Linked DNA regions of Diceros bicornis minor. The protein of the gene in region 2 purifies or fractionates together with the protein of the main gene of each other region. This does not show direct contact. Links are inferred from orthologs where the notes say so. Each region holds a gene or a part of one and is shown on either strand. Other genes may lie near its edges.

Evidence for each region.
Region 1: the proteins of DPF2 (region 2) and SMARCA2 purify together in Homo sapiens (affinity purification with mass spectrometry; 6 studies listed by BioGRID and IntAct, counting the BioPlex papers as one, with this or other methods). This does not show direct contact. The link is inferred for Diceros bicornis minor from reciprocal best matches to the Homo sapiens genes DPF2 and SMARCA2.
Region 3: the proteins of DPF2 (region 2) and SMARCD3 purify together in Homo sapiens (affinity purification with mass spectrometry; 3 studies listed by BioGRID and IntAct, counting the BioPlex papers as one, with this or other methods). This does not show direct contact. The link is inferred for Diceros bicornis minor from reciprocal best matches to the Homo sapiens genes DPF2 and SMARCD3.
Region 4: the proteins of DPF2 (region 2) and ARID1B purify together in Homo sapiens (affinity purification with mass spectrometry; 7 studies listed by BioGRID and IntAct, counting the BioPlex papers as one, with this or other methods). This does not show direct contact. The link is inferred for Diceros bicornis minor from reciprocal best matches to the Homo sapiens genes DPF2 and ARID1B.

What each region holds. Positions count from the first base shown.
Region 1 is NC_080761.1:26,386,249-26,393,518, forward strand, and holds the start of SMARCA2 (probable global transcription activator SNF2L2), read left to right. Parts: upstream 1-4,261; 5' UTR 4,262-4,361; intron 4,362-4,923; exon of another isoform or gene 4,924-5,090; intron 5,091-6,048; exon of another isoform or gene 6,049-6,149; intron 6,150-7,270. UniProt on the Homo sapiens protein: ATPase involved in transcriptional activation and repression of select genes by chromatin remodeling (alteration of DNA-nucleosome topology).
Region 2 is NC_080770.1:7,847,529-7,855,109, reverse strand, and holds the start of DPF2 (zinc finger protein ubi-d4), read left to right. Parts: upstream 1-4,562; 5' UTR 4,563-4,622; coding exon 4,623-4,654; intron 4,655-7,581. UniProt on the Homo sapiens protein: Plays an active role in transcriptional regulation by binding modified histones H3 and H4. Is a negative regulator of myeloid differentiation of hematopoietic progenitor cells. Might also have a role in the development and maturation of lymphoid cells.
Region 3 is NC_080742.1:96,904,023-96,911,147, reverse strand, and holds the start of SMARCD3 (SWI/SNF-related matrix-associated actin-dependent regulator of chromatin subfamily D member 3), read left to right. Parts: upstream 1-4,113; 5' UTR 4,114-4,246; coding exon 4,247-4,324; intron 4,325-7,125. UniProt on the Homo sapiens protein: Involved in transcriptional activation and repression of select genes by chromatin remodeling (alteration of DNA-nucleosome topology).
Region 4 is NC_080778.1:12,667,709-12,674,615, reverse strand, and holds the start of ARID1B (AT-rich interactive domain-containing protein 1B), read left to right. Parts: upstream 1-3,901; 5' UTR 3,902-4,195; coding exon 4,196-5,971; intron 5,972-6,907. UniProt on the Homo sapiens protein: Involved in transcriptional activation and repression of select genes by chromatin remodeling (alteration of DNA-nucleosome topology).

The DNA.
Region 1 (7,270 bases), on a different chromosome or scaffold from region 2:
AAATTACTTACTGCCTCTCATGTCTTCATCTGCGAAATGGGGATAATATCACATATCTCACAGGGTCAAATGGATTAAATGGCATATATAGAGGTCTCTGCACAAACACTGGCATCTGATTTAAAGAAGAAATAAAAGCAAGCTGCTATTATAATTACTACTACTCTATTAAACAATTGCCATGTACACACTCATGTTACTCCTAGACTAATTTAAAAATGAACCAAACAAAACCTCCCTTCCATGCTCTTTATGTGACTGCAAGAGCTGTAGCTTCACTTCACATCCTACCTCCCCCTACAAAAAAAACCCAAAACAAAGCAAAAGGGAAAACCAAAAGCATATCAGCCTTCTCAGCTTGGAAAATAACATAAAGATTCTAAATACTTAGTAATCTTGTTCATTAACATGATGGTTAATAAAAGAAGACCTGCTAAATTCTCTATTGCAGATATTTTTCATATATATCTCTCATCCTTCCATTCAACAAAGTTTTTTTTTTTTTTTTTTTAAACAACATACAACATGCCAGGCATCTGGCTAATTGCTCAGGTTTCAGAGATGAATTGAACTTGCTCTGCACCCTCCAGGCACTAGCCATCTAGTGGAGGATACCAAAGAAATAATCGCATCAAAGTGATAAGTGCTGTAACGGAGGTACACACAGGTTGCTATGGGAGCAGAGTAGGACAAGTGGCTTCCTTTGCCTGGGGAGGGTAAGGAGGGCCACTGGAAGGCTGCTGGGCCAGAGTTGAGTCTTGGAGGATGTGGATTGGGAACCCACATTTCAGTCTGCGGGAAGTATATCCAACATGGCCCCTTAGGAACCAGAAGGTGGACCAGGTTTCCAGAACTCAGGCAATTGCATGAGGTCAACAAGGCTGGCAGACATCTGAACATACACAGGCTTGGATGGCATGCTAAGAAGTCTGAAATTTATCAGATAATGGATCGGGAATAGACAAAGACTCTTAGGATAGAGAGTGATATGACCACAAACAGAATTGGGGTGGTACTTTGGAGGGATGATTGTGGAGAAACAGAATCTATTGAGACTGTGGTTTGGAAAAAAGGAGAGAGAGGAGTGTTTATTTCTGTAATAAATTTAGTTGCTAATTCTAAACTCTCCACTAAATTAAATGTCGGCTGATTCACTTTGTCAAAGTTTTGTTTCCATTACTGTAGATGAAGTACTCATTTCCTAAATAGTCTTACTTGCTCCTATTTGAAGCCAGGCAACATTTCACCCGGCATGAACAGTTTGCCTGGTGGGAGTAGAAGCTTCCTAACTTTGTGCATGGAGTTTTTCTTTATGGGGGTGTTGTAACAAGATACCAGTTTTCAAACCCAATATCTACTCTATTCAGAACATGATCCAAAGCAGACTTATATAACAAGTGAATGTGGCCATACAGACACGAAAAAGTGACTTCTATCCCTTGATGCCAAACTAGAAAGAGAAAAGCAAGTTCAGAGAATACATTATGACTCATCAAAGTCCAAAAGGAAAAGCTTCATGTGAATCTAGCATCCCGTGCAGCCTCCTGGAGTCCTTTTAGCCTCCAACCATATTTGCTTTTGTGTGATTTTCTGCAAAACAAAAGAACCCCATCATTTTCCTCCTTAACATCACTTGTTAAATTTAGCTTTATCTCAGAGATGAAGCTCATGCAATATGTTCTACAAACTTCTTTTCTTACTGAGTAAATGGTGCTGCCTTTTCATTTCTCCTGAGCATAGGCCTTATTTTATAAAACTTCTACTTGCTGAAGTGCAAGCTACAGAAAAGAGGATTCTTCAGAGGACAGACCTGAAGGAAGAAGGTAGTGCTTTCTTAGACCAATGTGAAAGGAAAAGGAGATGCAATATCTATATTTAATCTCTGTTCCTAGCAATAGATTTTATTTTTCAATTCCCAAAGTTGTGCATATAATGCATGGATACCAATCCTTCCAAGTACTGCATCAAAATTTTATATGAGCTGAAGAATATACACATGTAACAAAGGGAGTGTTTTCTTCTTTATTTTCCCTCTGACAAAATGCCAGAAAGAATAGCCAGCCTCTTCCTCCAGTGTCTTACTAAGATGATTGCTCTCTTTTTGAAATTTGGCATGGCAGATGAACGTGGAATCGTAAAGGAATAAAGGGCACTCATTCACAAGGAAATAAAGGTGAAGTCATCAATTTACGAAAATCGGCATGGGAGTTTGGCATGCCACGGAAACAAATTTGGCCTGAAAAAATTAAAACCTAATATTACCTAATGTAATAAGCATTGCCATTAGGTTAAAGCCCTTTTATAGGCAACTAGGTTATCTGGCTATATTAATAGTTGCATTTTATTAGGCAGTTAGAAGTTATATTTTTACTACATTGCTAATTTTGTTTAAAATTTCTTGCCGTATATTTCCCAGCTAATAGTTACACTGGCATATCCTCAGGCAGAAAAACAAGTTCTTACAACAGATTCTTCAGGGCATGCTATATTCTATTTCTCTGAGATGGGTTATCTTTTGTTGTTTTGAGGTTCACTTTGGAATAGAGAGAAAATTATGAAGCTAAAGTTGACAAGCAAGGAACAAGGCCTGAGAAACCTACAGGGTGGGTGACCATTGACACCCCTGGCCACCCAATGGTGCCCTTGCAGATTCTACTTCTGCCAGCAGTGGACCAGCAACGTAAACAATTCCAGCCACTTAATGACCACATGAGGGCTTTGGTGTTCCTTCCATTGCTTCTTGTCTTCAACGTATCCAGTGCATAGTTTTAAGCATCCTAGAACTGCATTTCAGACTCAACTGCTCAAATAGAGTTAATTTTGCAACAGTAAAATAGTCTTAAAGTAGGATTTTACTCTAGGGGGAAAAATCCTCAACTAAATAGTCACAGTGCACTTTGAATGACTAATTTAAACCAGTACATTACAAAATAAGGGATAAATCATACTTTTCATAACACTACCATACAGGAACAGTTTTAATTTTAAGAATCCAGCACCTACATTAATCTGAGTCTAAAATAATAGGCCCCTGATTTAAAATCTCCTAACATTCTTTCACACTTCATAAAGCTAAAAATAAAATTGTCTCAGCAAACACTGACCTATCGTCCGGCCAAAGTGCTGTATTTCACGGAAAATTGAAACAAGAGGTCTCAAAACCGCAAAACACCAGCAGTTTACCGTCGGTAGCCTTAATTGGTCTTAACTGTGGGGTGGGAGAGAAGAGACTATGGTGTGTAGAGAATAAGAGATTTATTCCCCTTCTTAAATCAAATGCAGATGCCATGCTTCCACTGCCCCCTAACCCGCCCGCCCCGCCCCCAAGGGGTTGTTTTTCCATATTTTTGTATATATTTTACGTGAAGATGACAGGTAAGGGAAGGTTCAAGGGCTGTGTCTGGTCCACAAGTAAACAGAGGGGTTAGGGCAGGCTTCTTTATTTATAAGGCGTTCAGCCTCTCAGCTGTTTTTCCCTCGTTGGCATTTGGAAGCTTGCAATCCTTTAGAAAAGAGACAGATTTGGCAGGAATGTTCTTTGTGCCGGCCTTCCTTTTTACGGGGGAGAGTGGGGGCAGATTTATAATTACTGCCTTGGGCGGGGGACGGACGGGGGAGAAAAAGTTTCAGCCGGCACGACAATGCCTGTTTTTTTTCATGGTCAACACTGTGTCACAAACAGCTTTGGTGCCACTCAGAGCCCTTCCCTTGTCCCCTCCCTTTCCCTCTGCAGGCTGGCTCTGGCAGGCGGAGGCACAGTTAAATTCCAGCACCTTCTCCACATACCCCCAAACTACTACGCGCTATTACTACGGCTGCCCTCCCTTTCGCTTTGCCTGCTCTGCTTCCCCAGACTCCCCGGAGGAGCTCGGCAGCGCCCCTGGAAGAGTACTGCCAGGAGAGGGATAACCGGCGCCCAACTCCATCAGGGCTTGGGGCTGCCTGCGTCCTGCGCAGTTTCTCTGCTCCAGGCACAAACACGGCCCGAGAGCCGGCGCCTTGCAGACACACACGGATCCACGCATACAGTAGAGCTGTCTCGAGCCACATTCTTGCACACCGCCCCCTCCTCCCCCCGAGCTCCCGGAGTCGCTGAGCGGGGCGAGTGACAGGCGCGTCCCGCCAACCCGCGCCCGGGCGGGCAGGGAGGAGCGGCGCGTGGGGCCAACTGCGGTGCGTCTTCCGGCGCCCGTGGAGGCGGCGAGGGTGGGACGCGGGGCGGAGCCCGAGTTTAGGAAGAGGAGGGGATGGCTGTCATCAATGAAGTCATATTCATAATCTAGTCCTCTCTCCCTCTGTTTCTGTACTCTGGGTGACTCAGAGAGGGAAGAGATTCAGCCAGCACACTCCTCGCGAGCAAGGTAAATATAACTTACAACTCCTTTTTCCTCTTTCCCCTCCCTCCGGTCTCCCCGCTGCCGCCGCCGCACAAACCCCTCCGGGACCGCGCCGCCTTTGCTGGGGATTATTCATTATTATCCTAATTATTATTTATTGTGCATGCACGGAGACCAAAACAAACAGGCGGGCCAACCGCCACCACAAAAAAGCCCGCCTCCTCCCCGCGGGCCTCAGGTGGAATGCTCTAACGACAGCTCCAGGGCGGCGGTGGGAGAAACGGGAAAGTTTCAACCGAACCTTGCTGTTCTAATAATAACAGTAATAATTACTACTTCAAGGAGGCGAGGGGGAAAAATCCCAACAAACCACAGCCTTGACCCTGGGTAGCCAGTCGGCGATGCGCTGCCAACTCAAGGTTGCAACACACACACCTTCGGCAAGGTTGCAATCCCCCCATCCCCTTAAAAGCCGGGGGTGGGGGACTGAGGCGGAGGGGGAAGGCAGGAGGACAGGGGAGGAGGATGGAAACGCGACAATTCATCCCAAGCAGTCCTCCCGGAAGAGTTGGAAGGGGAGCGGGAGAGGAGGGCGAGAAGCCCAGGCTGGCGGCGAGGCGCCAACGAACGCGGCTGCCACCCGCTTCCCGGGGACTTGTTTAAAGGGCTCCGGCTGCGGAGAAGCGAGCGGATCGCGGCGGGAGAAGCCTGAGCTGGCGCGCCGAGGAGGCGGCAGCCACTGCCGCGGGGCCGGTGCGTGCCGGATCGGAGGTGTCACCTCCACTTTGCGCTTTCCCTCGGGCGGGGATGGGGACGCTGACCGGTAGGGAGGCCTTTAGGCGAAGGGGCTGCAGGGGTGCTGCACCCGGGGCTCTGCGGACGTCCCTGCCCCTGGTACCTGGCGGCCGCGCGGGCTCGGATGTTGAAGTTCTGGGTGTCCGGCCCGGGCCGCACTGCTAGGAGGGAGGAAGGAGGCTACGAAGAAGGAGGTCGGGGTGCCCGCCGGGCTCAGTTACCCTGCCCTCCCCGTCCCCGGGTTTGTTTTGCTTTGCGTCTTCCCCTAGCTTGAGCCGCGGGAACCGCGGGCGTGGGTCGTCCGCGATCGTCCGGGAGCTAGGGGCTCGCTGGGGCCCGGGAGAGCCGCCGTGGCTGCGGGCCGGGGAGGCCATGATCCGGATAATCCTCTCTGCCTGACTGTCACAAACAGGACCCGCGCGCACCCGGGCAGCGGCGGTGGTGTTCGCCGGAGAAGGGAAGGGCTGCGGGGGGGTGGGGGAGAGGAGTGGGGGGTGGGTGGCGAGGGCGGGAGGCGGGGAGACCGGGTGGGAGCCTCCTCCCAACGATGACACGCACCCCTTCCTTTTCGCTCCCTGCTTTCGAGTTTGCTTTATTCCCATCCCAACCTGGTTTACCCCTTCCTCTGCTCTCTCCCTCCATTGGCCGTCTTTCCTCCTCCCGTTTGCGTTGCAAAACACGGCCATGCCATCTGCAAAGGTGTCGCGATGCACTTCCCCAAATAATCGGTCCTGCGCGCCAACCCCTAGGCGTCCTCCGGCCGCGGGGCGCACACCGATCCTGGTGCCCCGGGTGCCCCGCACCAGGCCTTGCAGCCTGGGGGCAGTTGCACCGCGCGGGGCGGGGCGCAGCAGTGCGGGCTCCAGGGGACACCCGCGCCCTGGTCCGGGCACTGGGGCCGGTTTCCGGTACACGCGGGGAAATCGCCTCCTGCCAGTGTCTGCGCGCTCGCTCCCGCCTCCGCCGCCTGGATTGCATTATTATTTTTATCCGGGTTGCCGCTTGCAGCAGATCCTGGTGAGCGCGGGGCTGGCCGGACTGGGGGGTGGGGTGGAGGGAAGTTGGACGTGGATCAGGCAGGAAAAAAAAAGTTTGGCAAGGCTGCTAAGTAGGGTGGGGGGGGTTGGGAGGGGGCGGCGGGCTCCCGCGGCTCGCGTCTACGCGCCCTCGGGGCCGGCGCGAGTGTGTCTGCGCGTGAGTGTGAGTGTGTGTTGTGCGCGCCGGGGCCAGTGCGTCGGGAGCAGCGGCGCCGGCAGCCGCTCCTGCCCGCGCCCTCCCCGGGAGCCGGGGGAGCACAAGGCGAGGTTTGGCGGCGGGGGCAGGCGGGGGTGGCGTGTGCGTGTGGCTGTGAGTGTGAGTGTGAGTGTGCGCGCGCGAGCGGCAGAGAATCAGGAAGTCACAGCAGCGAAGCGCACACAGACATGTTTGATCGCCGTGACATGACGCGCGCGAGGGAGGAAGCGGCAGCGGCGGCGGGGGCCGGGCCGCGGGCTCGGGCGCGGGCCTAGGGCTCGGGCGGGGAGACCCGCTCTGGGTCGCGGGCCGCGCCGCCACTGCAGGCTCGGCCAGCCCCGCGCCTCTTTTTGTTCGGCGTCCCCCAGGTAAGCAGCCTGCGCCGCCGCCCCCCGCTGTGTGCGGAGCTTTCCAGCTCTCCCTGCCGGCCCCCTCCGGTCTGCCGGCTCGCCTTTCCTGCAAAGTCAGGCAGGCGGGGGAAACGGGCTCCTTGTCTTCCGATCGATTGCGTGGAAAACTTTCCAGCGGGAGGCACCGTGAGAGGGAAAAAGAAGGCCTTGCTGGCTGCTGTCGCTTGTCAGTTCTTTCTCCTCCGGGTCCGGAGAGTGGAGTCGCTGCGCCTTGGGGTTGTTGCACATTCAAACTTCGGGCCTAAACGTGCCTCCAACTCTCGCAGGATTTACTCCAGCAATAAAATTAATATTCCAAGTCGTCCACTTGGTCTTGCCAGGCGTTCGGATTTTTTAAGAGAAGGAGACAGGCTTGGGAGTCGAGGGAAATGGGGGTGTTGTGCAGAATCCATTCCTTCTTTCATGTCTGCACCGGGTGTTATGTAATTTAGTAGCACATGGGTGCAAAGCCCATACTGGGCTTCTCCCTTCCTTTGTTTATATAACTTTTGGGAG
Region 2 (7,581 bases):
TTTGCCTTCAGCCTGCCTCTTGACTGTTCAGGGTTCTTTACCAGGTGACATATCCCAGATCTTCTTTTTTAAAAAATCTGAGCCCTTGGTGGATTTCCCTGTATAGAATTGACTTCTTCTGCAAACTCTTTATTTTGAAACACTTCAAATTTACAGAAATGTTGAAAGAATAGTACAATGTACATCCATATACCTTCATCCAGATTTGTCAATTATTACCATTTTGCCTCATTTGCTTTATCTCTTTACATATAAAAACTTTTTCCCTGACCTTCTGAAAGTAAGTTGCAGATATCATGAAATGTCATACCAAATACTTTAGCTTTTATTTCCATAAAGCTTGGGCTTCTTCAACCTCTAAATTAGCATCTCTCATCATTTGGGGAAAAGTATCAGTCATTTTCTCCTTAAATATTGCCTCTGCCCCTTTCTCTCTCCTCACCCTCTGAGACTCCAATTAAACATATGTTAGATCTCTCTATATATCTGCTGTGTTTCTACTCTAATTGGGTATTTTCTGTTCTTTTGTTTTACCATGCTGTATTAAGGACAATTTCTGCCTTGTAGTTCACTTGTTCTCTCTTCAGCCATGACTCATCTACTTTTTAACCAATTCATTGTGTTCTTAATTTTGGTTATTGTATTTTTCAGTTCCAGAAGTTCTATGCGGTTCTTTAAAAATTCTGTTGTGGCACTTCTTACTAGGTATTTGTTCCCTGCAGATATTTTTATGCTCATCTTTTACTTCTTTAAACATAGTAAGCGGTGTTATTATATAGTCGGTATCAGATAATTCCAATATCTTAAATCTTTGTGGGTCAATTTGGTTTTCTATTGTTTGTATCCATTCTTACACAAAGTTTCTCGTTTCTTTGTGTGCCTAATTATCTTTGATTATGGGCTGGATAGTGTATCTGAAAAAATATTGTTAGAAATAATTTGAGGCCTAGGATGACAGTACATTCCTTCACAAAGGATGTTGCTTGGTACCAAATATGCTTGCGTCTGCCGGCTTACTAGGGACATTATAAAGATGGGTCTACTTTAATCCAAGTTCAAGGCTCGAGCTTCCCTGGACCACCCAGATAACATGATTCTGGGCTACATGTCCCTCTTAAAGTGTGTATATGTCTGTGGTGGGGTATCTGACTTCCTACCCTGGTCAGGCTCTAGGTTTTAATTTTTTACCCTCTCTCCCCAAAGACTGCCAAATAACAGCTCAATTTCACAGTTATATCTTCCAGATCAGTAAATGCCCCCAGGACAAAATTTGCTTTGAATTCTGGGCTTATCTTTCTGGGTTTTAGCCTCTAAATGTTGGTCCAGTAATTCTTCACTTTATCATTAACTTTTCAATACTTTTAAGATTTGTGTGTGTGTGTGTATGAGGAAGATTAGCCCTAAGCCAGTATCACATGCCAATCCTCCTCTTTTTGCTGAGGAAGATTGGCCCTGGGCTAACATCTGTGCCTACCTTCCTCTACTTTATATGGGACGCTGCCACAGCATGGCTTGATAAGTGATGCGTTGGTGGGCGCCTGGGATCCGAACCCGTGAACCCCGGGCTGCCAAAGCGGAATGCGCACACTTAACCGCTATGCCACCGGGCCGGCCCCTAAGATTTTTTTTCACTTTCTGTTTTTCAGTTTGTCTTTAGTGGGAAGGTTGGAATTAAATACCTAACCAGGAACCTGTCTCCCATTAACTACCTGAACGTAACATTAAGAAGATTCCCCGGGTTTCATTTCTATTTCCCCCTGCCCCCACTGAGGAATAGCAATCCTATTTACCCTTGACGATTAGAATAAGCCCAACCAACAGTGGTATCCCCTTTTCACTTTCTTGCCTTGTGGCATGTGGAACGCAAAATGGCCCATTGGCAGTCTCAGCTCCTGTTTTAGAAGAATCATTACTGTGCCCCCTGGTGGAAGCATTCCTCTCCTGGGTCCTAAAGGCTCTAGATCAGCCAGAGCCCAGAGCTGCAGGAGCAGGAAACAAACATTTTGCAGAATCGTTAGTTGAGATTTCAAGAGGCTGGACCCTACTTCCACTCCTTGGTTCTCGTCTGCAAGAGAAACACTATATATACTGGTCACTGGTTCAGAGCATGCGGAGTATCTATTGTTCAGTGATGTAGCACTTCTTAAAAGAATCCTGAAAGAACTGAAAGCCACTGAGGTTGGGCTCATAATCTGACTTTCCAATTATATATAACTAGCCTACTTATTATTACTCATATTTTTATTGAAATATACATACAGAGAAGTACACAAATCTTGTGTAGTTCAACGTTTACAAAGTGAACAAACCTGTGGAACCACTACCCAGATGAAGAAAAGGAACATTACCAGCACCTCAGTAGCCACCTCATGCCCCTTCATTGTCACTATCCTCCAAAGGTAACCACTCTCCTGACTTCCACCCCCATAGACCAGTGTGTGTGTTTATGTAACTTTATAGAAATGGAATCATACAATATATGTCCTCTTCTTACAACTGGCTTCTTTTATTCAACATTAAGTTTTTGAGATTCATTCATGTTGTTGTGTAGCAATAGTTTGTTCCTTTCATTGTCGTTTAATCCATTCTACTGTTGTGGGCATTTGGGTTGTTCCCAGTTTGGGGCTATTATAATTAATGCTGTTGTGAACATTCTTGTACATGCTTTTTGGTGTATATATCCACGAAGGGAATTGCTGGGTCACCGCATAGGTGTATTTCAGCTTTAGTGCCAGCGTACTGTCTTAGTTGGCTTGGGCTGCTATCACAAAAGACCATAGACTCGGTGCCTTAAACAACAGACATTTATTTCTCACAGTTCTGGAGGCTGGGAAGTCCAAGATCAAGGTGCCAGCAGATTGGGCTCCTAGTAAGGGTCCTCTTCCTGGCTTGTAGACATCTGCCTTCTTGCTGTGTCCCCACATGGCCCTTCCTCGTGGAGAGAGAGAGATACCTGTCTTCCTCTTCTTATTAGGGCACTAATCCCATCGCGAGGGTCCCACCCTCACAACCTCATCTAAACTGAATTACTTCCCAAAGGCCCCACCTCCAAATACTATCACATTGGGGGATAGGGCTTCAACATATGAGTTTGGGGTTACACAAACATTCAGGCTATAACGCAGACTTTTGACTCCTGCTTGGGAGTCACCTCTGATACCCTTTGTCCCTACAATCATTTGGTTCCCAGGGGTAGAAGAGTGTACCAGTGTTGTCTCTGGGTTTTTCTTCCAAGCCACCGACACCCACTCTGCAAGTTTGGTGCAGGGTAGGCAGTGACAAATACCTCACAACTCCCATCTGCCAAACAAGATTATAAGGCACAGTGATGGTAAGACGTGTCCTGATTCTGAAATATTAAAATGGGGGGAGAGGAAGGAATATGTGCATTGTGGAATTTATGAAATAAGGTATATGACACGGACAAAGGACAAAGCCTTGGGGACTCTGAAAGTTATAGGTGGAACAGAGGATGGAGAGCCAGCAAAAGAAGCCGAAGGCACTGCCAGCGTGACAGGAGGACAGCTGGGATAGTGTGTGTCTCACAGACCTGGAGTGGAGTTTGGAAAAGGAGGGAAGGGTGAATGGTGTCACGGGGCTTGATAGGCCAACGAGGACACAGAAGAAATCTCTAAATCTTTTGAAGCAGAGGTGGTGGTGACTTTGTTAGTTGTTTCAAGTGAACTGGTGGAAACAAAATTCCCATTAAACCTGGGCAGAAAGAGACTTGGAAATAAGTCAACAGAGATAGGGAGTATAAACAGAATATTTGCTTTAAAAGAGTGAAAAGAAATGGGGTGATAATTGAAGGCAGACATTGGCTAAAGGAAGGGCTCTGATTTTTTTTAAGGAGGATATTAAGCCATGTTTCTACATGAATTTGCATGATTCAATAGTGAAGGAGAAATGAATGGTACAGGAGAGAGAGGGATAATTGAAGGAGGGAATGTCTTCAGAACATAAGTGGAGGGAAGGAGCTTAGAGAGGAGTAGGAAACAAGGGAGAAGAGGTAGGTACCAGAGAAGATGGTGGCTGGGTTTGGTGGTAGGAAGGTGAGGTAACTTTTGTCAGACCCCAATATCTAGGGCAAAGAACTGCCCAGTTCTGGGGGTTAATTTTCCTCTCCCTAAAACGGACATATGTTTGGGGGCCCAAGTGGACTGTGCACCCCTCTGACCTTCGCTACCTGCCAACTCCCGCCTGTGAGTAAGGGCAAAAGGTTAACCAGGAGGTTAAGGGTGGGCCAGGTACCAAGACGCACGCATGCGCTCCACGTAGCCCATCTCGGCCTGCCAGTTTTCACCAACCTCTCGCCCTCTCATTTCTGGACCAGGCCACAGCCTTGCTCCCTCCTCCCGCTCCTCCAAATGTAAGAGGTGGGGCTCGAGCCGGAGCCTCGGGGCGCGCACCCGTGTCCGCCGCGCCTGCGCACCGGGCTCCTCGGCTCTCTGGCCCCCGCGAACAGCCCCTAAGCTCGTTCTCCGTTGCTCGTTCTGGGGCGCGCGCGCGCCCCCAGGCGGCGCCTGCGCAGAAAGACAAGGAAACTGGTTCCCCGGAGGGGTCCCGGCGCCTGCGCGCTGCGGGCTCCGGGCCTCCCGGCCTGAGGGAGAGGAGCAGGGAAGATGGCGGCTGTGGTGGAAAATGTAGTGAAGCTGTGAGTGGTCGTTTCTTTTCTCTTCTCGGCCGGGAGGTCTGGTGAGGGGCTTGGGAGTAGGGGGCGGTGCGGGAAAGGACGAGGCGGAGAGAGGGACGTGACCGGAAAGGCCGCGTTGCGACTCCTAGCGGGGAGGGCAACAGGAGACTCCGGAGAAGACGTTGCGCTTCTTTGGAAACTTGTGGAGGCCCTGAGGGGGGCACACGGGAGCCCCTGGCGGGCAGCCCCCTGCGCCGTGCGGGGCGGGGCGGGCTCGCGGTGTCCGGAGTATGGCACCCTTGCTGCGTATGGGAGACGCGCGGTCCCGATGTCGCTCCCGAGACGCCGAAGTCCGAGTAGCCGGGCCGAGGGCGGCCCGGGACCGACCCCTCCCCGTCGGCCTCCCGCAGCCGGCCCTGGAGCCCCAGGCGCCGTGAAGCCCTGCGGGGTGTTTTGTTTAAACAGCCCCGTGACGTTGGGGGGGCCGGGGGTCTTGGTACCCAGGACCAAAAATATTCTTGGGAGGAATTGAGGAGCAGAGACAGAAGGGAAAGAACTTCAGGGGAGCGGACCTTTGCGCCTTCCCCTCCCAGCCATCCAAACACGGGACCGGGACGGAAGCGTCCAGGGCGCCCCTGCAGCCTGGGGGAGCAGCTGGGTCGGCCGGCCTCGCGCTGTGCAGTCCCCTTGGGCTGGGCAGATCGCGAGCCAAGTTGGTGGTGGTTGGGAAAATGGAGAATGGTTGTGAGCTGTGAGTTAAAGACGCTTTGGGACCTGATTTCACCCAGCCCCCTCCCCGAAGGAGAATCTGAATGAGTTCTGAAATGGGTTCATGCCCCATGGGCGAATAGAGCAAGCGCCTTTTCATGGGTTAATTGGGCTTAGTGTTGGGGTAGGAAAATTGAGAGGTGGCTAGTTGTCCAGTCGGGGCTTCTGGATTTTGACCGGATGACAAGGTAAAGGTTTGGGAATTCTTCTAAGGGTCTCACCGCTTTTCATCTGCCTTCGTGTTAGACTGAGCCCCACTCTTCCCAGGAGCCTTTTTTAAGAGTACATTGCCTCCTCCCCTCCTCCTGCCTGGAGCCTTTTCTTTGAGAATGCTTTCCCACTTCCATTAAGCTAAGTGCCTTCTCCTTCTCCTCTTGTGGTTTTTTTTCCTCCTGCTTTCAGCTCCATGCTGCTGCCTCTTTCATCCCCCTCCTCCCAACACTATTATCTTTCTCTCTGATCTGCCCACTCTAGTTTCCCCAGCTCTCTCTTCAGGCTGACATTTCCCTCAATTTAGAAATGACGCTGTTGATCTACCGTTTATATAGTTATCCTTCCTGACTCAGATGTTCTTTCTTTGTTTCCCTGCCTTTCTTTTTGTCGACTCCCCCCATCCCGTTATAAGGGGAGGTTTTACATGGGTTTCTTGCTTCTCGAAAAAGAATCAAAGCTTTAACCTTGGAAATCTTACTTTACTGGGGGAACGTCAGACTTGCCTAGGTTTTGAGAGTTATATGTAATGAGATTCTTTCTGTTGGAAGACTTTCTTCAGGGAAATAGAGTTGCCAACTCTTTCTTGTAGTTTTAGCAGTGAGGGGTTCCCCATTTAAAGAAAGCATGACTTCTTATTTCTTTTTGAAGAGGTGTAGAGATTATGAGGGTCACTAGCCACTGGTTCCTGAGTACTGCACCGGTAATGAGAAACCAACTTTCTCCTCCTCAGTCCTAGCTGCAGAGGGCTGTGGACCTCAATTAAATACATTCTCCTACAGAATTTTCCCTTTAAGAAGTGGCTTCCATTCTTTCTGTACCATTCTCACCTTGGAAAGAGACGCTTTTCTGGCTTTCTCTTGATCATGGTATGCTTTGTTTTCTGACAGCTGAGATTATACGTTGAGGTCAGGACTACTAGCTCATCTTTTCTGACTTGCATCTTATTCTGGGAGAAGAATTTTCCTATTTGTAAATTCTCTGTCCCTCTCAAATGTGGTGTCAGAATTGAAGCAGTCTTTAAAGGGTCTTATTAGGGTAAAATAATAGTATAAAATACCTGGGGCTGCTGACTGGTCTTGAAACCTTCTGAGTTAGGTAGCAAGATCTAGAGGATAATGTTAGCTTGAAATTTCTTACGATAGGAGCCTTAAGTTTTTAAGAGCTCTCTCACACTGTCTTACCCTCTCCTCATCAGATCCTCTTCCGCCAACTTAAGTGTTTCATTCCCAGCTCTCTTACTCACAAGACAGTTTGCCCCACCTTCTGAAATCCCACTTAACTCATAAGAACTTGGATAGAACATCTGTCATCCATTCCCCACAAACTGTTTCCAGCCTCCTTGCTCTGATTTTGCAGCTCTCAGGCCGTCTGGTCCTTCCTTCCATTTGATTTCCAGTGTCAGTATCAATTCCCATCAGCAGAAACAAAGGAGCTGCTGCACTCAGCCTTGTTTATCCAGTTTTCCTCTGTGTGCTGAGGACATGGCTGCCTCCTAAAGGCGAGCAACTGTGAGCCTGTTCCCTTCTCTCCACTCTGCAACACAAGATTCATGCCTACCTCAGATTACAGTCATTACAGCTCATTGACTCCAGCCAGCATGTCTTGTGGTGTCACCACCTTGTGTGTGGTATGTGTCCTTTTCAGTTGCTGGGACATGCTAAGCTGTGCCTAAGTGGTCTCTTGTGGCTGCTCAGTGAAAGCCCCCCCTCGGATTCCAGAGCAGGGTTTGTTGGTGTAGCTCGAGTTATGGATGTAAGCAATGGAGGCTTACTCTGTGCAGCTTCCCATGCTAGGACCCTCCCTTTTATAGAATATGCCAGAGCTTATCTAGTCTAACCTCCCCAGTCTGTAGCAGAGGAACCTGAGGTCCACATGGATTGACTAAATGTCCATGTTTATGTGGTGACTTGCAGCCAAGCCAGGTCGCTTTACTCCCAAGTCAAGATGTTCCAGACACCTTCGTGGGT
Region 3 (7,125 bases), on a different chromosome or scaffold from region 2:
CAGGGTTCCCTGGGGGCCTGGGACTTAGGCCAGGCAGGTAGGCTGGGTCAGAGCTGCCTCTGGGGCCCCTGGCATGCCCTGGGGTTTAGTGACCAAAGGAGAAGGTGGGGGCTGGGTTTAGGGATGCGCCAGAACATAGAAATCACTGGGTCCGCAGCCTGAGAGCTCCAGGTGGCCTCACTTGCTCGCTCGCTCGCTCGCTCGCTCGCTCGCTCTCTCGCTCTCTCTCTCTCTCTCTCTCCCCCTCTCTCCCTCTCTCTCTCACATACACACACACTCACACGCGATGTCTTTCTGCTAAGGAAGGCTTTATTGCTAGGGGTGTAGGGTGTAGGGAAAAGGGGCAGCGGGAAGAGGTCTCTCCCTTCAGTCTGGTTTCCTTTGTTCCTCCCTTGCCTTCCTCCCTCTCCCCTTCCAGCTTCCCTCCTCTCCTCCTAGCCGCCTTCTTCCATTCTCCCTCCCCCTCCTCCCCCCTCCCCCTGAGCCGGTCCCCGTAATGGGACCTCCACAGAAGGCGGGGAGGGTGGGACTCCGGGCTCCGGCCCCAGCCTCGGTGGCCGTCTTCCCGCAGGGAAGGAGTTAAGTCTCTTCGCTGCATCCCTCCTCCCTCCTCTGCCTCTCCCCGCCGCCTCTGAGTCCTGCAGCTAGGCCCTGGGCTGACCTTCACCGGGAGGGAGGCCGCAGTGCGCATGCCTGGGCCGGCTCCGGGCCGGCTCCCGCCGCTGTCCCGGGCCCCCGCGGGCGAGGGTGAGGGCGGGCGGCCGCGGGCCGGGACGTGCCCCCAGCGCTCGGGCGCGGTGATGGTGGGGGGAGGGGGCGCCGAGCCCATCCCGCTGGCCGCGGCGCATCTCTCCCTGCGCGGGGAGAGGCGCTTTGCCATTTGGTGCTGGTGGTGCTTCGGCGAGGGAAGAAGAGATGGGGGGACGGCAGGGGGGACTCCGGCTCCGGGCCTCCGGGCGGCCGCCCTGTGCCCGGACACGCGCACGGCCTGCCCGGAGCTCGACCTGGGCCAGTTGGCCGCGGCTAAGGGCCCGGTCCGGCCTGGAGGACAGCCCCTTGCCTGCTGGAATCGGGCTTTCCCTGGGCCTCCTTCCCACCGGCAGGAGCCAGCGGCATGGCACTGCTGAGCGCCCTTCTGGGGCTGAGACTTCGGGGTTCCTGGCCTGTGTGAGGTGGGAGTCCTGGTTGGGACATCCACACTGGCGCCTCTGCTTTCTAGTCTGAAGGGTCTCCTGTGTCCTTACACTTAGGGTTGCCCCCGTAAAAGCAGCATGCAAACCTGTCTGCTGGCGGGTGCCTTGTGAATTGGGCCTTGCAAGTGGGATGTGGAGGTGATCAGGGTGTGCCTGTGTGTGAAAATCTACGTGGCTCCTTGTCCCTTTGGCGTTTGCATTGGTGTGTGCCTTGGGGCGTGTATGCACTATATATCTGTTGTCTGTGCACACATAAGAATGTCTCCCAGAAAGGGGGCTGCAGGGGGAGGCCCTGGTCTTGGGGTGGCCCTGGAGGGGGTTATCTATAGATTTGAATGACTTGTGGGCTCCTCCTCAGGTACCACCAGAGCCTTTGGTCTAACCACCTCCTGCAATCTCCTCCACCACCAAGACCAGCCCCTCACAAATGCTGGGTGTTCCCACTGCCCTTCGTGCCCTTCCCTCAAACTTTTCAGCTGCCCAGTCTGGGGTGCCCATCCACCTCCTCTGCTGTCTTCTTTTCCCAAAAGGCCTCTCCAAGAGTTGAGAACTCTGAGCTTTACACAAAGCCTAGAGGTGACTGCCCCTGCCCAGTCCCCCAGAACCTCCAAGACCTGTGGGTTCATGTGTTCATGCTAGAAGCACCCATGGGGGGTGGGGTGCCCATGGTGACTCACACGTCCAGGTAAGTGTCAGAGCATGAGCTCGGTCCACTGGCCCACTGAGCTTTGGGTGGTTGCAAGCGTTAGCAGGCATTTGGTCATGTCAAGTCCCTGTGTCCAGGCATGAGGGGAGAGTGGGACTTAAAGACCGGTCTCTGACTTAAGGGAGCTGCAGCCTATTTGGGAAACCAAATCTAATATACGTGAACCACAGGGCACATCAGACATTAGTCAGTCAAGTGCCAATTCATGGTGCAGGGTGGATGGCAATGGGCATTTGGAGAAGAGAAAGACCTGTGCATAGGAGTGGGACCAGGAAGGCTTCCTGGGGGAGGTGGGGCGAGACATGGGCTTTAAAGGATGAATGTGATCTGGACAGGCAGAGGAGCAGTAGAGGGATTCCAGGCAAAAGAATAGCTGGAGCAGAGGCTTAGAAATGGGAATGAGTGACAGGTTTTAGAGGTTAGTGGACAAACTAGAGAGATTACCTCTCCAGGTTACCAGTAGCCACCTTCATGGCCTATGGCAACTGCCCACCCATCCCCACCCCACCAGGGCCCAGTCTCGGTATGTGTGGCTCTAGGGGGAAGCCTGGGTAGAGATTTAATAGGAATGGAATCTCTAGGTCCCCTGCTAAGCCGGCCGTAGAGGAGGGGTGTCCTGGACACACGTCCTCTCTGGCCTTTCAGGGGATTGACAGTGGGCACCTAAACGGACAATGACAGCCAGGTGCACAACCAGGGCCCAAGGGAGTCAGGCCGCAGGCAAAGAAGGATCCTGGAGCAGAACACTCCCTTGGTTCTTTGTCCCAACCTCTGAAGGCATTCTGAAACATTGAGGGTCAGGACTCCCCAGTGTAATGCTGGGTCTGCAGGGTTTAACTTCAAATAAGTTTTCCAACACATTCCCCCAGGCATCGCCCCATCCTCACCTAGATTCTGACAGTGCAGCCCCAGGAGGCCCATAAAGTTGACCCACTGTTGTCCCAAAGCCATGGGCCTCTCCTCCAGGAGGAGAGAGGGGTGTGGCCTTTGGAGGCATGGGCGGGGCCAGGGCTCCCAGCCTGGGGATCTCAGGATTTGCTCCTCCTGTTTCCTGTCCCTCCTGTACCCCAGGGACTGCCAGCTTCCTCTGCATTGCCCCTTCTGGGGCTCCCTCATAACCCCATAACCCTGCTTTCTTTGGGGTTTTGAGGCTGGCCCTACCATACCCAGCCGGCCCAGCTCCCCTGGTCTCCCACCACCAGCCCATTCCAAAGCCATCAGGGCCTGCTTGCCTCACTTCCTCCACCCATCCACCCAGGCACCCACCCCAGCTCCTTGCCTCCCCCATGTTTCTCTTCCTGCTCTTGCCAGCCCAATCCACCTCCCTCTTTCTGAAATACTTCCCCTATTGCCCTCACTTTCTCACATAGAGACAAACAAAGACACATACCCAGAAATAGACTCACACGGCGCTGGAAGACACAGGCCATGTCCTGCCACACACGCACCCGCACGCGCGCGCACGCACTAGAGGCTCTCGTGGAGGGAGGCACACAGAGAAGGCATTTGTCTGTGCACGCACATAAACATCCACACCCACAGCCACCGCGCCGTGCCCACACAAGGGTGCAGACACACACGGCGGGCGAGACAAGGGCGCACACATCTGTGGACGCAGGGGGACACCGCCTCGCTGGGCACACCCACCACTGCCGGCCTGGTGCAGGAGGAAGGCCTCCTCTGGGCTCCGGCTCCCCCCGGATTCCTTCCAGAGAATGTTTCCCTACTTGGCCTGCCAGGTCTCTGGGGAAAGGGCCTCAGAAATGCAGCAGGAGCCACTTGGGGGGAAAGTTGGAACTGACTGTTCCCTGCCTGGCCCTGCCGGCGAATTCTCTAACCGAGAAACTATTTGTGGCGAGAGCCCGGGTGGCCGGCGAGCCCCTCGCCACCTCCCCTCGCGTCCCCTCCCCGCGGCCCTCGGGCAGCCTCGGGCTGCAGTGGCGCTGCCCAGCGCCCAGGAGCCGGGCTTGCCGGCGTGCCTCGCTGCTTATCTGCGCTGTTTGGACAGCGAGGGTTGGAAAGGCAGGCTTTTCTGTCCCCGCCGAGTCAACAGGCAGACCCCGGGCCGCCGGACTATTTCTGTCTTATCAGTGCAGGAATGCGGCAGCCGCGGCGGCGGCGGCGGCGGCGGCGGCGGCGGCGGCGGCGGCGGCGGGCGGGCGGCGGCGGCGTGGGCCGTGGGCCGTCAGGGCAGCCCTGAAGGGGCCCCCTCCCCACTCCGCTCGAGTAGAAGTGTGAGAGAGCCCAGCAGGACTCAGAGGGGAGAGTTGGAGGAAAAAAAAAGGCAGAAAAGGGAAAGAAAGAGGAAGAGAGAGAGAGAGTGAGAGGAGCCGCTGAGCCCACCCCGATGGCCGCGGACGAAGTTGCCGGAGGGGCGCGCAAAGCCACGAAAAGCAAACTTTTTGAGTTTCTGGTCCATGGGGTGGTGAGTGGGGGAAAGTTAGCGGGGGAGGGTGAGGAGCTGGCTCGGGCTGAATGGAGGGATGATCGGGAGGGACCAGCAGGGGGGTCCCGCTCTCCCACCCCTCTAGCTGGGGGCGCCAGGGCCCGCGGCCCAGCGCCACCACCGTGCTGGCGCCCTGGCACCCGAACACGTCGTCAGGCGGCCGGCCAGGGATGGGTGTCCGGGCGGGGAAGGGAGGCGTTTGCATGGGTTCTTGTCAGGGGATGGGGGTGGGACTTGGGGACTGCCCCCTCAAGTGGGGGTCCCCTCGGTACCAGACATGTTGTCTTCCGTTCTTTTCCTTGTGGGCCCAGGTGTTACCCTTGCCCTAGGGTGGGGGTGGGGGACATGGCATCGGCTGGGCTGGGCTGTCTGTTCATCCATTGGGACAGTGTCTCTCTGATGGTGTCTTGGGAGCAAGGAGCAGGTGACCCTGGAGGCACTGTGAGCGGGAAGCTTTCTGGCTGAACAACCTCTGCATCCTGGCAGGAGGGCTCTGGGGCTTCACTGATGGACTCTGCCATCAGGGTCAGAGAGAGGCCTTCTCTAGGGACAGACCCCAAGTTAAGGGATCTGAGGATCCCCTTGGCAGACTCCGCCACCAGAAGCTGATGTCCTTAATGCCTCAAAGGTGTGAAGGAAGGGCTGGAGTCAGGTACACAAGGCCTAGAGACCAAAGGGGCAGGGCAGCACGTCCTGCCATGAGCAGACTTGGAAGGCATGCAGGGAGCCGAGGGAGCCCAGGACAACCTGCGGGGATGGGAGCTTCAAGCTGAGGCAACAGGGGCCAGGTTGGCAGGGATGTGGGGGGCAGTGGAATGGGAGAGGCAGGGGCTTCGGGACTTGGGATGGGTGCTGGGGTTGGAGCCGGGTATAGAGGAAGCAGTCAGGTTTACTATGGCCAAATTTGGTTGTGACCCCAAGGAAGGCATGTTCTCAGTGAGGGAGGCCAGAGTCCCTAGAATCTTGGCCCTTCATTGGTGGCTGGCACAGCTCTCTGGGGGCTCTGGGAGCCTCCCTCTCAGGGCCTCTTGTGCAGATCAGTGAGTATCGCTGTCCTTGATAAGTGGGAGAGCATCTGGTAGGGAAAAGGGGCTTCCCTGGGGCGGCCTGTCCTCCAGCCCCGGGGATCTCTGGGGTAACTTCCCAGGGGTGCCTGTGTCGGTCAGCCAAGTTTCCAGTCCTAACCTTGCTGCTTGGGGAAGTCCCTTTAAAAAGGCCCATCTAGGAGGGAGAGCGGCTATGCACATGGATTTTTTTATTTGGCCAACTTAGAGCTTCAGTTCTTGGGTGGCTGTGAGCCCCACTGCCCCACTCCCCGTGCCCCATATGTGCTCGTAGGGAGTGGCAGTGCCTGGGCTCCATTCTGGAGTGTGAGTGACAAGGTCAGGTGGGGTGGGGGAGGCCAACACGTGGGCAGGCAGGTTTCACTGTGGGAGAGATGGGCAGAGACAGCTGGCTGGCGGGGGGCGTGGGGGGGGGCATTGGTTAGGGTTAGACATAGTGCAGGGCAGGAGGGACAGGAGGGAGAGTTGGCAGTTAGAAGGGATTCACCAAGCTCAGGCTCCTCCTTGTGCCTGGGGGCAGCTGCACTTCTGGGGGTGCAGTGGGTGGTGTTTAAATGATAACAGGGTTACAGGGTCTGCATCCTTTGCTCCCTAATCTCCTTCCTGCTCTCCTGTCCCAGTCCCCATCTCACCCACCCTCCACTTTATAGCCCTCTGTCCTTCCCCAATCCCTCTTCTGGAATCTGGACAAGTAAGGTTTAAGAAGGCTATGGAACACTTCACTCAATGAACTTGCATCCCAGTGGCTAGGGACTACACCTGCTTGTCTCCCTCTCCATGGCCCCCTTTGGGCCCTGCCTGGGGTGGGGGTGGGAAGTAGAGAAAGTCTGTAGGATGGGACCATCTCTGGTGATCCAGGCAGACAGGAAGAGAGAGATGGATATAAGAGAAAATGCTGCTGCCTTTGACCTACACAAGCCCTCTGGGCAGCCCACCCCCAGCCCAGCTGTCCCTTGCCCTCCCAATCAGAGAATCCTGGCAGGGTCTGGCCTCAGCTCACTCAGGTTGCTGCCAGCCCTGCCTCCAGCCTTTACCTTGGGAGCAAATTATGGGAGTGGGCTAAGTCAGCAAAGCATCTAGGTATGGAGACTTGGAATCAGCCAAAGGGGGTGGGGGTTGGGACTAAGAGGGCAAAAGCTGGGGCCCAGGGAGAAGAGTAGGTTAAGATGGGAAGGGTGAGTGCAAGGCAGGACAGTCCAGGAAGTGGACTGGGAAGCAGGGAATGGGAAGAGGGGCGGCAGGAGTCGCAACAGGGACCTCAGCCCCTAACCTAGAGGAAGCAGCGGAGGGCAAAAACCCTTGGCCCCTCGGGAAACGACTGCTCAGTGGCTGCTTTTGCCAGGAGGAGCGGTGTGACCTTGGCTAGGTCGCTTTTCTCCTTGAGCCACAGTTGCCTCATCTGTCAAGTGGAGATGGAAGGACCCACTCAGTCTGTCTTGCAGAGGAGCATGTGAATGTGCACATTCTTTGAAAAGGTTGAAAAGGCGCCGTTAAATATTCATTTTCATGGTACCTTCCTCAAATCCGAGGCTGGCAATGCCCTGTGCAGTTGCCTGGCTTCAGTTAGCTTTCTGCAGCCAGACGCAAAGCCCCCTCCGCCAAAGCTGCGCGGTTCCGGCGCTCCTGCCCCTCCCACCCCTCGCTCACGCCGGCGGCATCAGGGTCACTGGCCGGGGGGCTTGGGGTGGGGGAGACGCGGCTCCCTGCTCCTGGAGC
Region 4 (6,907 bases), on a different chromosome or scaffold from region 2:
GTTGCCAATCCTCCTTTTTTTGCTGAGGAAGATTGGCCCTGCGCTAACATGCATGCCCATCTTCCTCTGCGTTATATAGGACGCTGCCACAGCATGGCTTGATAAGCGGTGCCTATGTCCATGTCCGGGATCCGAACCTGCAAACTCAGGCCACCAAAGCGGAGCTCGAACTTAACTGCTACGCCACCTGGCCAGCCCCAGAGCTTGTTTCTTTACTGGCCAAGTCCTCCGTGACATTTCAGGGCAGCCCTGAGTGTGTTTTAGGATAATTATTTCTCTCTCCTATTGAGGACAAGACCAAGCTAATATTTATCTTTTTTATTCTCAGGGCATGTCACAAAGTAGATTCTAGATAAATCTGTTGAATGAATAAGTGTAGTTTATCCTCATCCAGGTTTATTATCCCCACTATAATACTCTTAGTAAGTATAATAGTGCTACATTGGTCAGGGTTCCCAAATATATTTAAATTATTTTTTGCCCAGATTTTTTTCAATCTTATCTAATTGTTTTGCATCCTAAGCTTACAGGCCACTGTTAATTTGCATTGTTGTTTCAAATCAAATGCTATATGCCCTATCTTGCTTTTACTCAGTTATTCACTGCTAACGTCTAAATCGGAGAAGTGAAAAGGACAATTGTTTAGTGCTTTTTAAAGTCTCTGACCAAGATCAGTAGGGAAATCCCATTAGCTCCATTCATTGCATTTCTCATAAATCTAAAAGGAAAGCAAGTGTCCAAAGCCTTATTCTTTAATAGTTCTTATTTGTAAAACCTTGACAGGGCTTTATTCTAAATTGCTTCCAAATTACGGAAAGAATACTGAGAAATATGATGGGTAGTGAATCGTGCTAGTTTCAGTTATCGAATAAATAACCAGAACAGTCAAAAGGGGGCTAATCTGAAAGCAAATAGTATGATGGGCCACGATGAGGCAAAAAGAACAGAGCTGTGGCATTCTTAAACTACCATCTGGCTCAATCCTCTTTAAGTGGGCAAGTTGAAGAGGCTTTTATTCAGCACCCTAAAACTTATTCAGAAGGAGCAGTATTTGAATATTAATTTTTCATATAGTTAAAAAAACCCACCAAAACCCTTTTGTAGCCAAAAAGGGATGTTTAACAAAATAATGGGTAATCCTCTGGCTAAACATGAGGGCGTGGGGCAACCCGTGGGTGGGAGTTGGCTGTAGCCTAGTGCAGCCACTCGGCAGCTTTTGGGCCTCCACCTGCGAGGCTGCCTTGTGGCTGGAGTAACTTACTAAAGTTGTCATTATGGTTTGAAATTTAGGCAAGAGGTGTAGAAATAAGGAATTCATTAGGAAAAATGAACATGGTGGTTTCTAGTACCTTATATTATCCAAAAAACAATAATGTAGAATTGCCATATAGGATAATCAAGGCAAGTGACACAACAGAAAGGATCATCTATAGTTCAAATTGTGCTTTTGTGAAATGTGAACCTATTTCCTCACTTTCTAAACAGACCCCTGGCCGACTGCCGTTTTGTTTATTAAGTCCTGGATTTTCAAAGCGAACTCTAAGAGGCTTTTATTTTGTTTTCCTGAGAAGGTGTGTTTGAAAAGTACAAGCTGAATAAATCAGATCCCACTACTTATCTTCAGCAAGATGCTTTAAAAAAGGTATTTGAGCATTCTCTGTGGTTTAAAAGACAAAACCCAGTCCTGCTGGCTTTGTGTTGTGCTTTTCTTACAGACTGCAGTGCCTTCTGTCTGTTTTAGGGTGTGGCACCTGCCATCCGGGAGGAGAAGCTGGCATGTGTCGCCTTTTATAGCAGATTGATTTCATTGTGCTGAGGGCCTCTACTTCATAGCCTCTTGGTTCCAATCTTCTAGTTGACTTGCAGAAGCAAATGGAATTAAAAGAGATTTCAACTTATATCCTTACTTTTTTTTTTTTAGTTTCATGATTTATCCACATGAAAAAATATTTTTAAGAAACGGGCCAGAGCTGAACTTGGTGACTCATTTTCCCTTTTAGGATTAGCTGTGAAAATAAGCCACCAAATATGGCTACACTTGTATGAATTGACTTTGATATATTTTATCAGTGAGAAAAAATATACTTTTATGATTGTATGTATATATTTAGTTTGACTATAAGTGTCTAAAAGCACAAATATGTAATTGGTTTTAGAATACATGTATATACACACATACACAAAACAGACGTATTTATATTTGCATATGAAAAACTTTAAAAATTCAACTTATGTGCTGTAATGCATATAATTAGTATGGGTTTGAATATATAAAGGGAGAAAATGTCAAAAAGGTATACTAACAAAGATGTAGTATTCTCTTGGCAAAAACTGATGAATGATTTGGCATGAATTCATCTTACAGTTCTGTTATTCTCTCTTACACATGATGCTATAACCCGTTTCTCAGTCGTTTGCATAGAATTCAATTTGTTGTTTCTACACTCTATAATGACTCCTGGGTGATTCCCCTGATTTCTCCTTCCCCCCAGTTAGTCCCCAGTTTTTCCCATCTATCCTTTTCTATTTAGTCATGTAACATACCTGCATTTGGTCAAGCAAACAAAAATAACCACTGCAGTTGAAATCAACTAAAAGAGCCTTCCTGAAAAGCTTAAGAATGAAATTATTTTAGAAAACTACATTCTACCAAAATCATACATATTATTTCAGCTACAGTGACCTCTTGAAAGCTCTGGTTTCAAAGCCTTTCTCTGGATGAAAACTGAGTCCACACTAGTACAACTGAGCCATTGCTTAGGTTAAGAAGTCCTGCTAGTAAAGATAATTCAAAATGTTCCTAGGTGATGAATCTCCAATAATAAAAACACTTAAAATATCATAATGTGATAAAACAATAGTCTTTTGAAAAGAACAAAGTATGAAACATTTCTGCTCTAGGATTAGATTTGACTGATATTATTGAGCTTATGTTTATTAAATATAGCATGTATTTGTTTTAGTTTTGTTTCACATTGCTTAGATATGAACTCACATCAAGAGGGTTAATTGTGAGCATTAACCTCTGAAATATGATGAAAGGTGTCATACGGATTTATGAAGATATGAGATAAACCTTAGCTGTCGCTATTATGGCACCAAGAGTTCAATCTCCATGTGCAAGTGCTTGGGAGCATAACACACCGCTCTGCATACTTGAGGACTTCCCTTTAGCCAGAGAACAGACATGTGCATTGTATGCTCCTTTGGGAATACTTTGAGTTTTCATTGATAAGCCTACACACACATAAAGTGCCTTTAAAAAGTTATATCAACATTATTTTTGGGGCAGGTGCAATCGTACGCATGTATTGAGTACCTGCTGTGTACAGGGCACAGCGCGCCTTGAAGGCGGCTAACCTTCCCTTAAACTCTCCCTTAATTTTGCAGTTTGAAGAAGTTGTGGGAATTACGCGGACGGCCCGCCATCAAGACAGCGAGGCTCCCATTCTGAAAAATTACATAACTCCTGGGCGAGGCAGCGATCTTCTGCCCAGATCGCCCAAATATTTTCTTTCTCCGGCGGCTCTTCGGAACCTTCGAGGCCGACCGGCAACTTTGTTCCCCAGCCCTTCTCCCTCTTTTGTCTGCTCGTCAGACTCGTTTTCCACCTCTGGATCGTGCCTTTCCGACGTGAAAACAAACACGCGAACGCCGGGTCGGCAAGGAGACGCAGGCACGAGGGGAAGGTGCAGCCTCCCGGCGCCCCACGCCGCCGCGCCCCGGGCGCCCGCCGGGCCGGCCCGAGCCCCCGACCCGGGGCCGCCGGTGCCCGCGAGCCTGCGCCGGGGCGGGCGGCGGCGGCCCGGGCCGAGTCCAGTCCGCGTTTTGCGAGTGCACCGAGTCATCAGAGAGAAGTGGATAATAGTTGCTCGGCTCGCTCGGCTCCCTCTCCTGCCTTGCTGGGCCCGGGAGGCTCCGGCGGGCGTGTATTTCCCCAGATCCGGGGCAGAGAGGAAAAAAGTTGCATTTAAACCTGAACTCAAAACTTTCACCATGAAATCCCCCCGCGGGAACGGGCCCAGACCGTAAGGCGTGACTCCCGATCCGGCTCCGGCGGGGCCTGCGGAGGGGGAGGGGGCGCGCTCGCTTCCCGTCGGGGCGCGTGGATGCGCACAGGAGGGGCCGCCGCCTAAAAAGTGGGTTTTATTGTCTCCCCCCGCCCCCCGCCCGGCCTGGCCACGCCGCGGCGATCATGGCCGCGCGGGCAGCAGCGGCGGCGGCGGCGCGGGCGCGGGCGGGCAGCGGCGATCGGCGGGCGCCCCCCGGGCCGCGGCCGGCGCCCGGGGCCCGGGACCTGGAGGCGGGGGCGCGCGGCGCGGCGGCGGCGGCGGCGGCACCGGGCCCCATGCTGGGGGGCGGCGGCGACGGCGGCGGCCTGAATAGTGTGCACCACCACCCCCTGCACCCCCGTCACGAACTGAACATGGCCCATAACGCGAGCGCGCCGGCCGCCGCCGCCAGCACCAACAGCGCCAAGAGCGGCGGCTCCGAGGCGGCTCTCAAGGAGGCTGGAAGCGCCGCCGCGCTGTCCTCCTCCTCCTCCTCCTCCGCGGCGGCGTCCTCTTCCTCCTCGGCGGGCCCGGGCTCGGCCATGGAGACGGGGCTGCTCCCCAACCACAAACTGAAAACCGTTGGCGAAGCCCCCGCCGCACAGCACCACCACCACCACCATGCCCACCACCACCACCACCATGCCCACCACCTCCACCACCACCACCACGCACTACAGCAGCAGCTAAACCAGTTCCAGCAGCAGCAGCAGCAGCAACAGCAACAGCAGCAGCAGCAGCAGCAACATCCCATTTCCAACAACAACAGCCTCGGCGGCGCGGGCGGCGGCGCGGCTCAGCCCGGTCCCGACATGGAGCAGCCGCAACATGGAGGCGCCAAGGACAGTGCCGCGGGCAGCCAGGCCGACCCCCCGGGCCAGCCTCTGCTGAGCAAGCCGGGCGACGAGGACGACGCGCCGCCCAAGATGGGGGAGCCGGCGGGCGGCCGCTACGAGCACCCGGGCCTGGGCGCCCTGGGCGCGCAGCAGCCGCCGGTCGCCGTGCCCGGGGGCGGCGGCGGCGGCGGCGGCGGCCCGGCGGCCGTCCCGGAGTTTAACAATTACTATGGCAGCGCTGCCCCTGCTAGCGGCGGCCCCGGCGGCCGCGCTGGGCCTTGCTTTGATCAACATGGCGGACAACAAAGCCCCGGGATGGGGATGATGCACTCCGCCTCAGCCGCCGCCGGGGCCCCCAACAGCATGGACCCCCTGCAGAACTCCCACGAAGGGTACCCCAACAGCCAGTACAACCATTATCCGGGCTACAGCCGGCCCAGCGCGGGCGGCGGCGGCGGCGGCGGCGGAGGAGGAGGAGGCAGCGGAGGAGGAGGAGGAGGAGGAGGAGGAGCAGCAGGAGCGGGAGCTGTGGCGGCGGCGGCCGCGGCGGCGGCAGCAGCAGCAGCGGGAGGCGGCGGCGGCGGCGGCGGCTATGGGGGCTCGTCCTCGGGGTACGGGGTGCTGAGCTCCCCCCGGCAGCAGGGCGGCGGCATGATGATGGGCCCCGGGGGCGGCGGGGCCGCGAGCCTCAGCAAGGCGGCCGCCGGCGCGGCGGCGGCAGCGGCGGCGGGGGGCTTCCAGCGCTTCGCCGGGCAGAACCAGCACCCGTCGGGGGCCACCCCGACCCTCAACCAGCTGCTCACCTCGCCCAGCCCCATGATGAGGAGCTACGGCGGCAGCTACCCCGACTACAGCAGCCCCAGCGCGCCGCCGCCGCCGCCGCCGTCGCAGCCCCAGTCCCAGGCGGCGGCGGCGGCGGCGGGGGCGGCGGCGGGCGGCCAGCAGGCGGCCGCGGGCATGGGCTTGGGCAAGGACATGGGCGCCCAGTACGCCGCTGCCAGCCCGGCCTGGGCGGCCGCGCAACAAAGGAGCCACCCGGCGATGAGCCCCGGCACCCCCGGCCCGACCATGGGCAGATCGCAGGTAACCCCCGCGCCGGCCGGGCCTGCTTCCGCCGCGGCGGCCTGGGCGCGCGCCGCGAGCCCTAGTTTCTTTCTTTCCGCGTACTTTTTCCGCGTCCTCTGCCGGGGGAGGCGGGGGCGAGGCGCCCAAAGCCATCTTAACTCGCGGCTGCCTCCCTCGGAGGCCGGGGAGCGCACGATGTCCGGGCGCGCGGCCGGGGGACCCCGGGGCCTGGGAGGGGGTCTCGCCGCGGGCCGGGCCGGGCCGGGCCGGGCGCCGGGGTTCCCGGTGGCCGAGCAGCCGCGCCTCGCCACCCCGGCCCAGGCGCGGGGCCCGCGTGCGGGAGTCGGGGACGGCGCGACGCTTTTGTAACCGAACAGGCGCTCCCGGCCAGTGCGGGCTGGACGGAGATATTGACCAGGTCTTCCCGGTTCGCGCCAACAATAAGCTGGAACTGGGAAAAGAAGGGGGAACTTTGTCCTCCCTCCGGCCCCACTGCGTTCCCTCTTAGCTTACAAGGTGGAGGCAGGCAAAATAGGTTAGCTTTGTGGCCTCCGAGGATGTTTTCCGTAGTTCTGCCCAGCCATGCCGAGACATTCGATGCGGGGCTTTGAGTTTGACGGTTCGGTAGCAAAAATGAGACCCGCATTTACGACGATGTGGAGGGAAAATATTCTAAAATATAGCTATTCGTTCCTAAGAAGAGCCAGGAAATCCATTATTTGGCCCAGGCTGCTTGAAAGGAGTCACCTTCAACAGAGAGGCTGTGTTCAAGCAACACATTCCGGTTAAATTGAACTTATTTTGATCATGGACGAGGCACACTTTTTATTCAGCAAGTGCAGGAAAATAGCAGAGCAGTGAAAATGGATCTTTTGGGATCGGATTTATTTGGATTTTCTTGAATTTGCTGTCACCCGAGTCCTACTGCGTTATTAGGAAGTGTCCTGCGCTCTT